Linked DNA regions of Caenorhabditis elegans. The protein of the gene in region 2 interacts with the protein of the main gene of each other region in a pairwise test. Each region holds a gene or a part of one and is shown on either strand. Other genes may lie near its edges.

Region 1 (5,882 bases), on a different chromosome or scaffold from region 2:
TCCTCCTCCTCCTCGTCCCCGCCAAATTGATGTCCAAATTCAAAGTCGTCGTCACGATGTTCCATATTAGAGCAGTGGGGGTTGATTCCTCAAATTTAAAGGTGGAGTAGCCTCAGTGGGGAAATTGTTAAAAACCACTCCTATAGTCCCAAAATGACCAAATATCATGATAAAACTTTCCAAAAAATTTTTGAAAATTTTTTATTTACTGTCAAAAAGTGGCAATTACACAGTTTTTGCTACTCGTAATTTTGGAACTCGACCAAAAAACTTATTTTTTCCTACATTTTTTATACTTTAATTTTGTTTTAATTATTTGTATTAAAACATTGTAGGGGTGTGAACATGCGACATTGCCTTGGATTTCCTCAAAAGCTCGTATTTTTCAAAATTTTGGCGATTTGCCAAAACTTTGATCAGAAATTATGAAAAATCTAAAATTTTTTGGAGTGTTTTATTATTATTATGATATTCGGTTGTTTTGGATCATTATAAGTGCATTTAAACAAAACCCCCACTGGCGCTACTCCACCTTTAAATATTAAATATGATATTTCAAATAAGCTACAAAACTCAGGTTCTAAAAATCCACAAAACCCCGAAAATAAAGCCAAGTCAAAATGCAAATCGATAGATGAGAGAGAAAGAGGCACAGAGGTCTCTTCACTCACAAGATGCAATGCGTCTCACTCTCTATGTCTCTTATGGTCTCGTGTTCACATTAGACTTGGTTCTATGGTGACCGAGACATATCGATAGGAAACATTTTTTCGTAATATGCAACCATCATGTGTCATTTGAAAGTGTTTCATGAGGCTATGTCACTGCAAAATTTTAAGCGGCAAAGCTCTACTCTCAACCCCAAAAATTTCGATCTTAAATTGTTTCAGGCCAGTAGAATTGGTCCTGATTTTTTTTGTGCAAATTTTCAATGTTTTTTAGAACGGCTAGAAATAAGTTTACATTCTGGGAAATTTTTAAAAATTTTAAAAAATTTTTGAAAAAAAAATCTAAAAATTTCCTCAATCCACTCCACTCGGTTCAAAAATTTTTCAGATTTTTTGAAAAAATTTAAAAATTTTCAAAAATTTTCCAGAATGCTTACCTACTTTTAACCGTTTTGAAAAACATTGAAAGTTTGCAACAAAAAAAATTTGGAGCAATTCTACAGGCCTCCAAAGTAGTGAAGAAGTGCACTGTAACAGTTTCAGATCGATGCTAGAGGGGTTGAGAGTGGAGCTTTGCCGCTTAAAATTTTGTAGTAATATATCCTTATGGAACACTTTTAAATGGCACTTGTCTCGTTTTGAAGTCTGACATTAAAAAATAAAATAAAATAAAAACCTTTCCTTGAAAAGCGGCCATGTTATTTTTTAGTGCTAATCTAGTCAATAAACTGTGAGCCAGCTATAAGTTTTGTAGTCATTGTTCATTTTCTAGACAATAAAAAACCAAATAATGTAAATCAATTAAAATATCAAAGTTGTTTATTAAGTTCTTGTGAAACTAATTGGTTTCATTATATACAAAAACTTGAAGTCATTGTTCAGAGTCCGTTCACTTTCTTCTACAGCACTGTCCATTTCCGCATGGAGAGTAGTTAGCTTGGCAGGAGCACGAGTTTTGTGGGCTTTGTGGGCTCTGCTGGCAAGCCGTAGTCGCTGGCTGAGCGGCTTGGCAGGAGCTGGAGCACGAGTCCTGGCAGGCAGACTGGCACTGAGCGGCTGGTTGTTGTTGCTGAACGCATTGCTGCTGGCACGACTGCTCGCATTGTGGAGTACACTGGGAGGACTGGGCGACGGAGGATTGGAGAACGATTTGGATCACAGCTTGGGAAGATGCTGGGGCGGATGTGCTGGCATCGTATGGGTTGTACATTGGAGCTGGAGTCTGAGAAGTGCAGGAGTTGTCACAGGCTGGCTGGCAGGCTGGGGCGCAGTTGGCGGATCCGGAACCTTGGTTGTTGTTGTTGTATGGATTGTACATTTGGGTGTTGGTGTTAGAGTTCTGGTTGTAGACCTGTTGAGTGGCTTGAGCAGTTTGTTGGCAAATGTTGGAGCACTGGCTGTTACAAGCCGAATTGCACTGGTTAGCTGGCTGTTGTTGTTGGGTGCAGGATGATTGACACTGTTGCTGGCACTGTGGTTGGCATTGAGCTTGAGCCTGTTGGATCTCGAGTTGGATGTGGACTACTTGTGGTGCCTGAGTGGATGTGGCTGGAGCATCGCAGGCAACGTTGCACTGTTGCTGGCATTGTGGCTGGCATTGGGAAGCTGGTTGTTGTTGCTGAACACAGGTGGATTGGCACTGCTGTTGGCACATTGGCTGGCATTGGACGACTGGAGCTGGTGTGGTGGTGGCTGGTGGATTGTACATTGGAGCGCACTGGGATTGGCACTGCTGTTGGCATTGTGGCTGGCACTGGGCTACCGATGGTGCAGCCTGGCATTGTTGGGTGCAGCTCTGTTGGCAAGCTGGAGCACATTGAGTGGTTTGGACCTGAAAGTCTCTCTTTGGAGCTATAGCATAAGTTTGCTAGTAACCTGAACATTCTGGGTTTGTTGTGGTTGAGCGCAAGAGCATGATGGGGATTGTTGCTGAACTGGAGCAGATTGGCACGAGCACGATTGAGTCTGTTGAACCTGTTGGCACGAGCATTGGCTCTGCTGGGGTTGAGCACATCCGCATTGTCTCTTCTCACGAAGCACATTGCCCTGAAAATTAATATTCGTAGACTCAAATTTTTAGATCTTGCACAACTTACAGACACCACTAGGGCGCAGGCGAAGAAGGCAATGGCGAGGGAGGTGAAGCGCATGATTAGAGCCGAAAGTATCGGATGAGTATTTCCATTTGATTGTGGGCTTATATACCATCTCGCTTGAAACTATCCCAACCATCTTCCGCCTTCTCATGCCGCGCGGCAAACAATTTATCGCGTGAAAAAGTGTTCGGTAAGACGAGCAAAGATGAAAAAAAAAGAGACGGTGAGCAGTGCACTCGAGTGGCCTATTCAAATAATCTTTGATTGACAAGAGAAAAAATTCATGATGTATGTGCACCAACACTTTGTTGAACTTCCTGCCCGTTATCACAGAATATATAGAGGTTATCGCTAACATGGAAATCAGTAAGTGTGTCGCGGGCGATGGAAGTGCAGAGATTTCCAGTTTGATTCCTGTGACAATGACTTTTCAACAACCGAATAATCGACGAAACAGTGGCACCCTTTCGAAAACGAGCATATTTTTGTATTGTGCCTATATTTCGACATGCTTGGTGAGTGTAGAGGGAATTTAAAACTAGGAAGAAAAAAAAAGAAATTCGCATACTTTTATAAACTTCAAAATTGTTTTTTAGTTCAATGTGGAAAAACATGAACATTCAATTTTTCGATACTATTTACAGGAAGACAGGGCTTGGTCATTCTGTGTCTCTCTTTGTATGGACCTGATGGGTGGTATGAGAGTGGTTTCCATTGAGCAGCTTTTCGAGGGAGTCTTGCAAATGTTTCTCAGCGGATATTTAGGAAAGCATTTCGACGGGCTCTCGAGGAAACGGGGTACGGTAGACAACTAAACGATCCCGTGGTGTCAGCCTGCCTCATTGCGGTTCGATCTACGACAAATGGGAATATTTTACCAGAAAAATTGTGACGTCAGCACGCTCTTAACCATGCAAAATCAGATGAGATCTCTGCGTCTCTTCTCTCGCATTTTTCGAAGATCACAGCAAAATGGGACGTTCTGACTCCACGTGAACGATTCATTTTTACAAATTTCGATTACTGCAAAAATGATTTGTTCAAGTATCACATTGACCTAACAAAAACTACAATCAAATACTTATTTCGTGAGTATTTGTAAGAGAAAATCAAGTTTTCAATTTCAGCAATCATGACCGTCGTACCGTTGAACAATTTGAGTATTTGTGCTGCAGCTGCTCTTATTATCAGTGAGTTCTAATTTGACACTGATGTAGGTACTCGAAGCTAAAATATTTTAAGCTTGTCTGTCTATCGATGCCACGTCACCGTGGTACATAGTCTGCCTGGTTCTAGCAATGTGCATATGCGCGGTGAACCGGCTTTTCCTGAACGCGGAAAAGTTCATCACAGGCAGAGATTGGGTTATGGTACTCGGAAATGATGGTACACTGTCGAATATGAACGCAACTCTGTTGACATTGGATCAATGTACCAATGTTATTGCACCGTTAGTAACTGGTGTTAGTTCTGTGTTCGCTTTTTAATTCCAAAGTAAAAACAAACTAAGTTAAGGCTCTGGTGACCTGGGTTGGTCTTCGTGAAACAGTTGGAATATTTGGTATAGCCTCTCTTGTTTCAATGGCTTCAAAAACCATTTTCCTTAGAGCAATCTACATCTCCAATCCTCTGCTTCAAGTGAAGAAAGACAAGAAAGATGAAGCGCTAGACCCATTCGCCAATTCAAGGCTCAAAGAATCTGTGGTTTACACGTACTGGTGCCAGATCTCATTCCCAGCTGCATTTGGAATGAGTCTTCTATTCATGACAGTGATGGGATTTGATGGATTAGCTGTAGGATATGGCTCAAGTGTAGGGCTTCCGGAATTTGTTATCGGAGCATTCAGATCCTATGGATCCGTGACTGCGATCCTTGGAGCGTTTTCCTACGCATTCTTCGAAAAGCGATACAGTGTCGCCACTTCAGGACTACTGGGATTGGTTGTTCAGCAGTTTTTTGCGGTTCTAGCAGTTATATCCGTGTTCCTCCCGGGATCTCCTATGAACCTTGGTGGATACTTTGGAAACTTCACTATGGGAACTTGGTGGCACGATATGGTTCACTCTTTCGACGGGAATAACGCTACAAACTTGGACCCACATGTTGATTGGAAGCACTTTTCGTCTGATGGTGTCAGTTTGGCCAGCATCTTTGTGTTCTTGATTGCGATTGCATCCGCAAGATATGGTGAGTTTGGGTTTTTTTTAAGGTGGTGTAGTCGAATTTTTTATTACCTTATCAGGCTCAAAATTGTCTGAAAACTCCTAATTTTATAATGAAACTCCTTGAAAAATTCTCAAAAAAAAGTTATGACGGCTCAAAAAATGGGCTAAGATTAGTTAAAATTGAAAATTTGACCGACTTGTCAAGCGGCTGGAAACTATCTTTTTTTGAAACCATGGTCAAAATTTAAGTATACAATGTAATTATCTTGTGTTTTAACTTCATATAGGTATTTTAAAGTCGATGGACGGCAAGTTTTGGTTTAAAAAAATTAAAAATCTCAAGTTGAAAACGCAACATAATTACATTTTGTACTCAAAATTTGACAGTAATTACAAAAAAAAAATTGTTTCCAGCCGCTTGAAAAGCCGGTCAAATTTCAAGTTTTAACTAATACATATTAGGAAATGTCAAAAAAATCAGGAATTTTTTAAAAATTAATTTTAATAATCAATTTTCAGGATTGTGGTGCCTGGATCTGGCTATCACTCACATAATGCAAGTCACCATCCCAGAACGAGAACGAAATACAGTATTCGGAATGCACAACGCGTTGTGCCAAACGTTCTCCGTTTTAAAAGATGTTCTAGTCATTATTCTCCCATTACCGGCAACTTTTGCAATTTGTATATTTATTTCTTACGGGTTCGTCTCTTGTGGTCATATGTTCTTTATTTATTACTTGGTGAAAACCAATAGCTTATCAACGGTTGGCAGGAAATTGTCACAACTACCAGAGAAGGAGGAAAAAGAAGAGAAAGAAGAATTTGAGAGGTTATAGATGAATTTATCTAAAAGATTTTTTTATAAGCAAATAAATAATTCATGAGCAAAATATAACAATTTTTATTATTGATCTGAAACTAAACTTTACAAACGTCTTATCATATATTT
Region 2 (8,505 bases):
TGCTTGGTTTGCAATTTTTCAGAACCCACGTGGCTGTTATTTTCTTGCGTTCATTAGGAATATTTTAATCTGTCAATTAATCCGTTTATAAAAAAACCGATTTTTAGCTTTGAATTTTAGTTAAAATAATGAAAAGAGACTTGCGCCTTTAAAGAGTTACGGTAGTTATCAAAAGATTTTCAGAAAGTTACAGTAACCCAATGAAGACGCACGTCTATTTTTTTTTAATTTACTGGTTTAAAACTAACTAAAATAAAACAAAGCTTTCTACTCGGACTGTGTTTTTACTTATTATAAAATCCCCGAAAAATAATTCCGTCTAATAGAGCGCAATTGCATCAGATGTTACAAAAATTAGCCGACGTATAATATTATAATTAATCTAATTGTGTATTAAACTTTTGCATAAACTTAAAACTGAAATTCTAGAAGAATCAAACACAGATTCAGAAATTCATAATTCTAATTCAAAAATTTCATTTTTTCCACGTTTTGTTCAAAATTATCAATTTTACATATCTCTGTAAATAATCTCTAATCAACATGATTCCCACACAGAAAAAAACCGAGACATCAAATCAAAAAGCACACAAAGTACGTTGATTGATCTTCTCTCCATCTGTTTATCTCGATCACCTCGTGGTTCTCTGCGTCTCTACCGTCTTCCTCTCAGCCTCTCTTTCTCTCACTATCTTATATTGTTGTTTTACAGTTTAAAGTGTATCTAAACCCCGCCTCTTTTGGGGGTCCTTCCTACCTTTTTTCGAATACCTTTGTCAGTTTTCCCCCGTCTCCGGAGACAGGTCCATCCGTACGCAACTCGAAGATTTTATCTCCGATCTAGTCCGGGTCACTTTTCAATTTCTCTGAAACGTCAAATTATCTATTCATCGTATTCTCTCCACCGCTCTCATCTCTCCTTCTATTAACCGATTTGCATAACAAAATTTTAGATTTTATTCCAATTTCATATTTCAGCTAATAATTACAAAATGTGCGACGAAGCCGCCCGTCTTGCCAAAATCGGCCGTCAAGAGTATGATCTCATTAGAATCCACGACGCGCCAAATTGCGATGATCAGACAAAGTTCGAGTGTGACTTGGAATTGGCTCGGTATCAAGTAATTCGCAGTGAAATGGCTTTGGTAAGGTTTTCTTTAATTTCTGTGAATCATTTTGAAGAAAATTTGAAATTAGATTGTCCATTAGCACCCTTAAATACATAGTTGAATTATGAATTGAACATGGTGCATCGACATTTTTTGAAAAAACAAAATTTTCCTTTTTCAATTCACGGACCCGATGCACCATGTTTTACGCGCAAATTATGTTGCGATGGAAACAGTACTTTATTCCACAACCTCAAATTTAAAAAATTGCAATAGTTAAGCCCGTTTTCGGAAAAAAATAGTTTTCAATTTCTCTGAAACGTCAAATTATAAAATTTCTCGACTACTTAGCAAAAACTATTCTGTACGCTGGACAAAATGCAAAATTCAAATGACAAAGCACTAGGATTTTGAGTTTCCAAAAGGCTGTAACTGAACATATTACTCAAAAATTGCAGTTTTACGGGGAATTTTCGAGATTGTAGATCAGTTAACAACTTAAAAAAGATAGTGTAGGCCACAAAAGATTATCCCATTCCACCCTTTAAACCCTTTTACTTTTCCAGAAAAACGTATACAACGAGGAATTTGTGACCCCTGCAAAACTCCGTTATCTCCGTGATGATCTGGAAGCCGCCGAGGAGCATCTGAAAAAGTTGCTTGAAACCTCCCATTGACGCGTTTGATCGAAACGGATTCTGTACATACCTTCCAAATTGTTATTTTTTGTGCTGTGAAGAAATGAAAATAAAATATATTGCTTTTTTCGCAAATCGAATCGGTTTTATTTGAGAAATTTATTTTTAATGGAATGGTGGTTTGGCACTGGAATGTAGAGAGACAATTGACTAGAGTTTAGTTAAGAATTTAAGTAAAACAAATAATTTAAAATCGAGTAATAATGAAATTATCGTCGTCTTCGGATTCTGAATCTGATGGGATCATTGCGGCTGCTGAAGGTGGTGGAAGCATGATGAAAGCGTCATTAATCTGAAAATAGTGGGAATTTGAATAATTTTTTGAAAATTAACAAGTGCCAGGAAATAGGACAACTACTGAAGGCTCCCCAGTTAATGATATTTGGTACAAAATCTATTTAGAAATATCTGCTAGGGTATGCAACCTGCCTCGTAGGAAATCTTAACCTATTAGCACTATTTTTGCTCATTACTTGGTTTGATCGATCGTTTGCTTAAAAATGTCTGCACGTACCTATGACAGAAAATTGTATTGAGAGCCCACTTATACATTTTGCTCAGTCTCAGAGAGAAACTTGGGTACGTGCGGACCCATGACCCACCATTCCAAAGAAAAATTTTGTCTAAAGAATTTCTCGAATTTCTTGCTTCTCTAAATCTATTTCTACTGGAAATTCGCAAGTAGTCAGCTGCTTCTTTTTGTTTTCGATCACCTTGTGATCCTATGAATGGCAGTTCCAATCAACAAAAGTACTTTCTCGGAAAAATTGGAAACTAGGGGTAATTAGCAAACTATTTCAAATTCCAATAAGCTTATCTTGGCGATTGATCTTTTATCACTACTAGTTACCTTGTCTTTTGTCGCTTCCACCCGATCTTCTTGTTCATCATTTATTTTTGTATCTCCCACCACTTGAAACTCCTCCCCAATCACGTTTTCGCCCTTTATCTCCTCTTCGACATTTTCTTCTTCTTCTTCTTTTAACGGTTCCGTTGAGACCTGCGAAGAAAAACAAATGAAGAAGAACATTGGTGATTGTTGACTTTTTGATGTTTGTATCGGTTTCATTTAAATAGATTTATATTTGTTCTAGAGGGGAGAGAATAAATTATAGAATCAGGTCAAAGGGTAGCGGAACTGATTTGCTTTCGAAAATGTGAGAATAACTGTGAAAATCGTGAGTACGACTAGATCCAAGTAATTGGAGCAAATATCGTTTAGGTTCAGGAGCACCCGTTCTTGAAACTTTTGCCCCCCCCCCCTCTCATTCAGATTCACAAATATCTATTTTATGGTGACTCATCAAATGGTCAGAAATATGATTCAAAAGTTGAAAGTAATACTTTAATTCCGTAATTCCTCTCTTAATGTTGCACCTACATAACTGATCTTGTGGATCACACAAGAAAGCTTACCGTCTTTCTGCTCCTCGGCTTTGGCACGGGCGGTACAAACTCTTCTTCAACTTCCCGATCCCTTTTCAGAACTTCCACATCATCATCCTCCCCAACCGTCGACAGAATACTTGACACAGTATCTGCATTTGATCTTGACGAGGTAGTGGAAACATCCGTGTTCCCAGATGAAGACGTCATTCTTCCGATGGACATTGGCATTGTTGCTGACTTGATCCTCTTATCATATAAGAACCTGGCAATTGCAGGAGGTACTCCACTTTCGTCACTTGAGCGGAGGTCTAGCGCATTTTGCTTTGTCAAGGCTCTTCCATTGATTAATACTGTACCAGGAGCTTCGGGAGCATCAAAGCTTGGAGCTTCATATGAGGGAGGTGGTCGGTTGGGAGGCATACTCACAGGCCGAGCGGAGAACGCAGGAATAAATCCTGGAGCTTGGAATGTTGGAGAGGAGAGGTCTGGAGGGAGGCTTGGAGCTTTTGGAGCCGGTCCTTTTTTCTTCCGAAGTCTAATTGTCTCTGGAGCTACCCCCAACTCATACTTCTCCACCAAATGCTTCATAAAAGCCCGATCTTTTTCTAGTGCAAGCGTCGGATAACCCGATTCGTCAGTACTGATTGTGGATAATTGATCCCTATCGAGATCATCCAGGTCATCCAACCAATCGTCAAGCTCATCCAAGATCTTTCTCCCTTGAACGGATGTGCTCCGAATAGTTGACATATAATTCGAGTCATCCGGCGGACTCGCCGGACTCAATATCGGTGTCTCCTCCTGATTCTTCGGGATTGCCAAAGGCCGATGCAACGGAGAAAGTGTATTGAGAGGTGGTGTACTTTTAACAATTGGAATGCAATCATCGAGACCGAAACTAAAAGCACCACCAAGATCACCCGGTCTTTCGATCACCAGAGAGTTAGGCTTCGGTGCAACGATTCGGTCGGCGGTTTGGATTTTTGGAGGTGGAGCTATGTGTGTTGAGATATTCGAAGTGTGGGAGATTGACCTGAAAATTGAAAAATTTTTAAACTTCAGGGTCCAATCAAGAAATACCGAAAAACTACAGGTTGCTCTGAGATTTCTGATGTTTCCTCCTCGTCGTCTTGGGCGTTGAAGATCAAATTCGGCTTGCTGTTCCTGAAAGTTTAATTCTCAACCAACTTTTGATTCAGTTGTCAAATTTGAAAGCGCCAGTAAGAAACTTAATTCTAAAGGAAGTACTTCTTGGAATTGAGGTAAAAAACTAATTCAAAAACTGTGTTGTTAGAAAATGTCATACAAATACTCACTGTGGAGGAGGAGTAGGGGGAGCTGGAGCCTTATAATTTTTCTTGCTCGGACGTGGTGGAGCAATATTTATGTATTGGTGGGATGTTGGTTGATTCTCGTAACCTCTGACAACTTCAACCTCTTCTTCACTTTTTGAAGCTGATGGGAAAGCATCATCTAGTCCAACTCTCTGAAAAGTTGAACTTTTTTGGAGAAAAGTAATTAAATAGTTCCCTACATCTTTTTCTTTTCTCTGCGATCGGAGTGTACTATTCGACGAGGAGGGTCTTATGTAGTAGCTGCTGAATTCTTTATTCATCCACATTGAATTCAAGTAATGCTTGTAGATCACAAACCTTTCATTAACCGTATCAATCACATTATCGCTCGTCCGAAGATTTTCAATTTCCGATGATCCCATTGGACCGACATGAGCCAAATGCCTGTAATATAAAAATTGACTATGATAGATTGTTTAAAACCTAAAACACAATGAGTAAAACTAATACGAATGTAACTAATTCGTCTCCGAATCTACTAATTGTAAGAAACTAATTCGTATGAAAATTGTAAGTTTTAGACGTATGGAGGCACGGGAGAGTACAGAGAAGCTGAGTGTCTTAACTCTCCTCCTCTCATATCTTTTTAAACAATTAAAATGGCGAATTGCGAAAAAATTGAGAATTTAAAAAATTTCAGGTAACGTGATTTGTATTATTTTATTTTATTTTTTACGACAATAGCCCATAGTGTAAGATTTAACGCTTGGTACCTATAATATATAACAATGTTTTATCAATTGTTGCTAGTCCACGTGTGATTAGGTACTACATAACAATTTTAAACTTAATATTCATAGTTGACATGTATGCTAGTTTTGCATTATTGTTTCTATCACTGATTATTTTCATGACTGAATTGTTGGCGGTTCCAGCTGTGTCAGCTAAATTACCTAGCAAAATGGTAAGTTTTGTTTCCAAGGTTTCTGATTTCTAAAACTTGGAATTTCAGTCTATGGATGTCAATATGATAATAAAAGAATGTTGTAATGAGATAAGTGTAGAGTGTTGTAAGCCTAATATTTTTGAATAAACTGTTCATGTTTCTAAATGTTCCTCATTTCTAAATGTTATATCAATTAAAAAAAGCACAATCAGCACAATCAATCAGCTATTGGCTAAATCTTGATGAAAGTTATTACACTGTAAAAATGGGTTGGTTAGAGAGTGTGGGGGAGGGGAGAGTGCAAGAACTCCGCTTCTTTCTCGGGCCTAAAACGTCGACATGTCATAATCCCGCTTGAAGCTAACCTACTAATGTTCTTCAAGAACGAATTTGCAGATACATTCCAATTCGAATGTACGGATTAACATAACATCCTCAACTTTTATTCCTTACCTGAAATCCGACGGCAGTGAGATCATAGTTTTATCCAAGTGTTTGTGCTGATTCTTCGGAGGCAGCAACGGCAAGTCGTTGGGCATTTTCCATAAACCCGGTTCCTGTCTTAAATCAAGAATAAAGTAACAAGAGGCAAAAAAAATCAATGGTCAAACCACGCAAGTTGTTGCAAAAACTGTGGAGAACAGACACCCGGAGTAACTGAGAGAGAAAGGGGAATAGAGAAATAACCGATAAAAACGTGTAAGCAGTTGGAAAAAGAGTAGTGATAAGGAATTATTGAGAAGGAGGTGATGTGTTGAAAGAATGATTCATTTGGAATTGGAAGCCAAGAAGTTTGAAGCTCCAATGACACCCGTGCTCAAGCTCCGCCCAAAGACGCTTGTAAGGAATCTTGAGTTTTGTAGCATGGCGGAATATTGAAGCGTCGTTCGATGGCTCCAAAATTTTGACCACTTTCAGGTACTGCATAAAATCAATTGAAAAATGTTAAAATTCAGATTAACATAGAAAAATCTAGCATAGAAACTACCTTTCAAATATTTCAAAAAGTGTTATCAATTTCTAGCAAATAGCAAATTGTTCTTGCTGATCTCCCATAGATTACTCAGATCAAATTGACAAGAGACGCAGCATGTTGAAGTGAAAAAAGAAAACATGTGTCGATCTGATGAGTAATCTCTTGAGGCTAAAAACCGGGTTACGGAAGGGTATTATGTATATGTATACTCTAGTGTTTGACTGCAAGTCGGACGATATTTCGCAATTTGTTTAACATTGATTTACGAAACCTTTGATGTTTTTAATGTATTACCGAAGATTTACTAGGATTATTTTTGTTTCGTAAAGAATTTAAAATGTGTTGTCATATTTGAAATAATGTTTTAAGCAACTTTGTTCATCATCAAAATTTAAAAAATTCCAAATATTAGTAGTAGTTTATTTGTTTTAATGTATAATATAAAAATCTTTAAAAAATATTCTTCTATTACATATCATCCAAAATTCCGATAGTCCGTCTCAAAATCTCCTGAGCTTTGTGTTCCCTTTCGTCAGCTCCACTTTTCAAATCCAAACTCTCATCCTTATACATTTTGTAGTAATACGACAGACTGAATAGTGACGTGGCATTCACAAAATTGAAGTGAGTTCGATAGGATTCTTCGAGTTGGGAGAAAGTGAAGGGAGCCGTGGAAAAATGAGATTTGAAGGTCGTATAGTAGTGGTTCAGGTATCTGGAAAATGGAAACTGACTCTTTGTTTTGAAATGTGTTTTATATCTCCGAACCCGATTTTCAAATCTCGGCCAAAAAGCGGGCCATTTCAATTTTTACTTCTTTCGGTTATTGAAAATGTTTAGACTTAGAAAAAGATACCTTTGAGTATTTGCTCTTCGATTTTCCACTGACAATCCAAGGCACAAAATACGAATAATATCAAAGGAGACGGGACCCTTTGACACGTGCTGGAAATCGATAAATGCCTGGATCTGAAATTATTCAATTTTATTATTAGGAGTAATTTTATATTCTATGACACGTAGTCCTCTTGGACAACTCTACCTTTCCAGTTTCATTATTCCATAGAACATTTGACGCGTTCAAATCATTATGACATATCACCAATGGCATTCCAAGTTTTTCGTTTTTCTTTTCGGAATTTCTAACTCCATCTTCATCAAAAGCATGCTTAACTTCTTGAATTCTTCCGGAGAGCTCCGCCGGGCATAACTTTTCAAAATCAAGGGTGTCGTTGTGCTGGAATTTTGATTCTGAAGCGTGAGAAAGAGCCGCTCTGGTTTTCAGGTAAGCAAAACACCATACACCATATTTACGGGTTGTTGTGAAAAGTCAATTTCCAATAAGTTCCAAAAATATTCGGCCACCAATTTTCGCGGCCATCAAAGAGATGTGCCCAATTTTAAATTCGAAATTTGAAAAGATGTGCCCAGATTGCAATCGATTGCAATATACTCTTTTTTTTTTATTTCTTACTATACCTAGGGCTTCACTGGCAGACAGGCACATTTTCAGGCCTATTTGAATATCTCGTGCCTGCCTCCCTACCGCTCAAAACTCACCAACATCCTGATATAGGCCGCATCATAAAGCACATTTTCATAATTCTTCCATGGAATCTCATCACTTATCTCAATAATTTTCGCATGAAAATGAGCAAGAGCCTCCAAAAGTTGAAGAACTTGAGACTCATCAAACCCGGGAACAAAATCAATCGAATACACTTTTCCAGAATAATCCTCACACGCCAGACCTGCCATTTTCTCGTTTCCCAAATTCTCGCCGTAATAGGAACGGGGAATTGGGAAACCGGAGAACTGAATTCCCGAGAAGTCAGAGTAAAACGTCACTTCTTGCTGAAAATTGATAGCGTCAAAACAAAAACAAAATACAAAATTACCGCAGTGAGAGTTCGCAGAATTTCCATATTCTCATCTGCATTATCTGGGTCACAGGCAGCGTTGATAGCCGAGATTCGTGGGATCTAGAACTTGAGTTTTTGGAGTAAAACCTTTCGCCTAGCATTTGAGATTTCAAAACCTTGTCAACTTAAAAAATTTAGAAAATTTTCCATAAAATATTTTGTTAGTTGAA

The links. The genes of interacting proteins can lie anywhere in the genome.
Region 1: the proteins of F09F7.5 (region 2) and pqn-54 interact in a two-hybrid assay, tested with the Caenorhabditis elegans proteins (one large-scale study listed by BioGRID).

The regions. Positions count from the first base shown.
Region 1 is NC_003283.11:1,461,950-1,467,831, reverse strand, and holds pqn-54 (Prion-like-(Q/N-rich)-domain-bearing protein), read right to left. Parts: upstream 2,843-5,882; 5' UTR 2,819-2,842; coding exon 2,765-2,818; intron 2,715-2,764; coding exon 2,544-2,714; intron 2,500-2,543; coding exon 1,558-2,499; 3' UTR 1,472-1,557; downstream 1-1,471. Other genes in the region: gid-8 (CTLH domain-containing protein), read right to left, coding at 1-65; fpn-1.2 (Solute carrier family 40 member), read left to right, coding at 3,187-3,279, 3,409-3,562, 3,892-3,954, 4,007-4,227, 4,280-4,952, 5,450-5,769.
Region 2 is NC_003281.10:5,544,603-5,553,107, reverse strand, and holds F09F7.5 (CRIB domain-containing protein), read right to left. Parts: upstream 5,999-8,505; 5' UTR 5,977-5,998; coding exon 5,891-5,976; intron 4,936-5,890; coding exon 4,849-4,935; intron 4,795-4,848; coding exon 4,731-4,794; intron 4,683-4,730; coding exon 4,513-4,682; intron 4,361-4,512; coding exon 4,277-4,360; intron 4,230-4,276; coding exon 3,224-4,229; intron 2,808-3,223; coding exon 2,658-2,807; intron 2,100-2,657; coding exon 1,995-2,099; 3' UTR 1,893-1,994; downstream 1-1,892. Other genes in the region: F09F7.6 (Ferritin), read left to right, coding at 993-1,145, 1,676-1,786; putative kinase-like protein D1044.1, read right to left, coding at 6,882-7,128, 7,270-7,382, 7,456-7,650, 7,974-8,267, 8,312-8,395.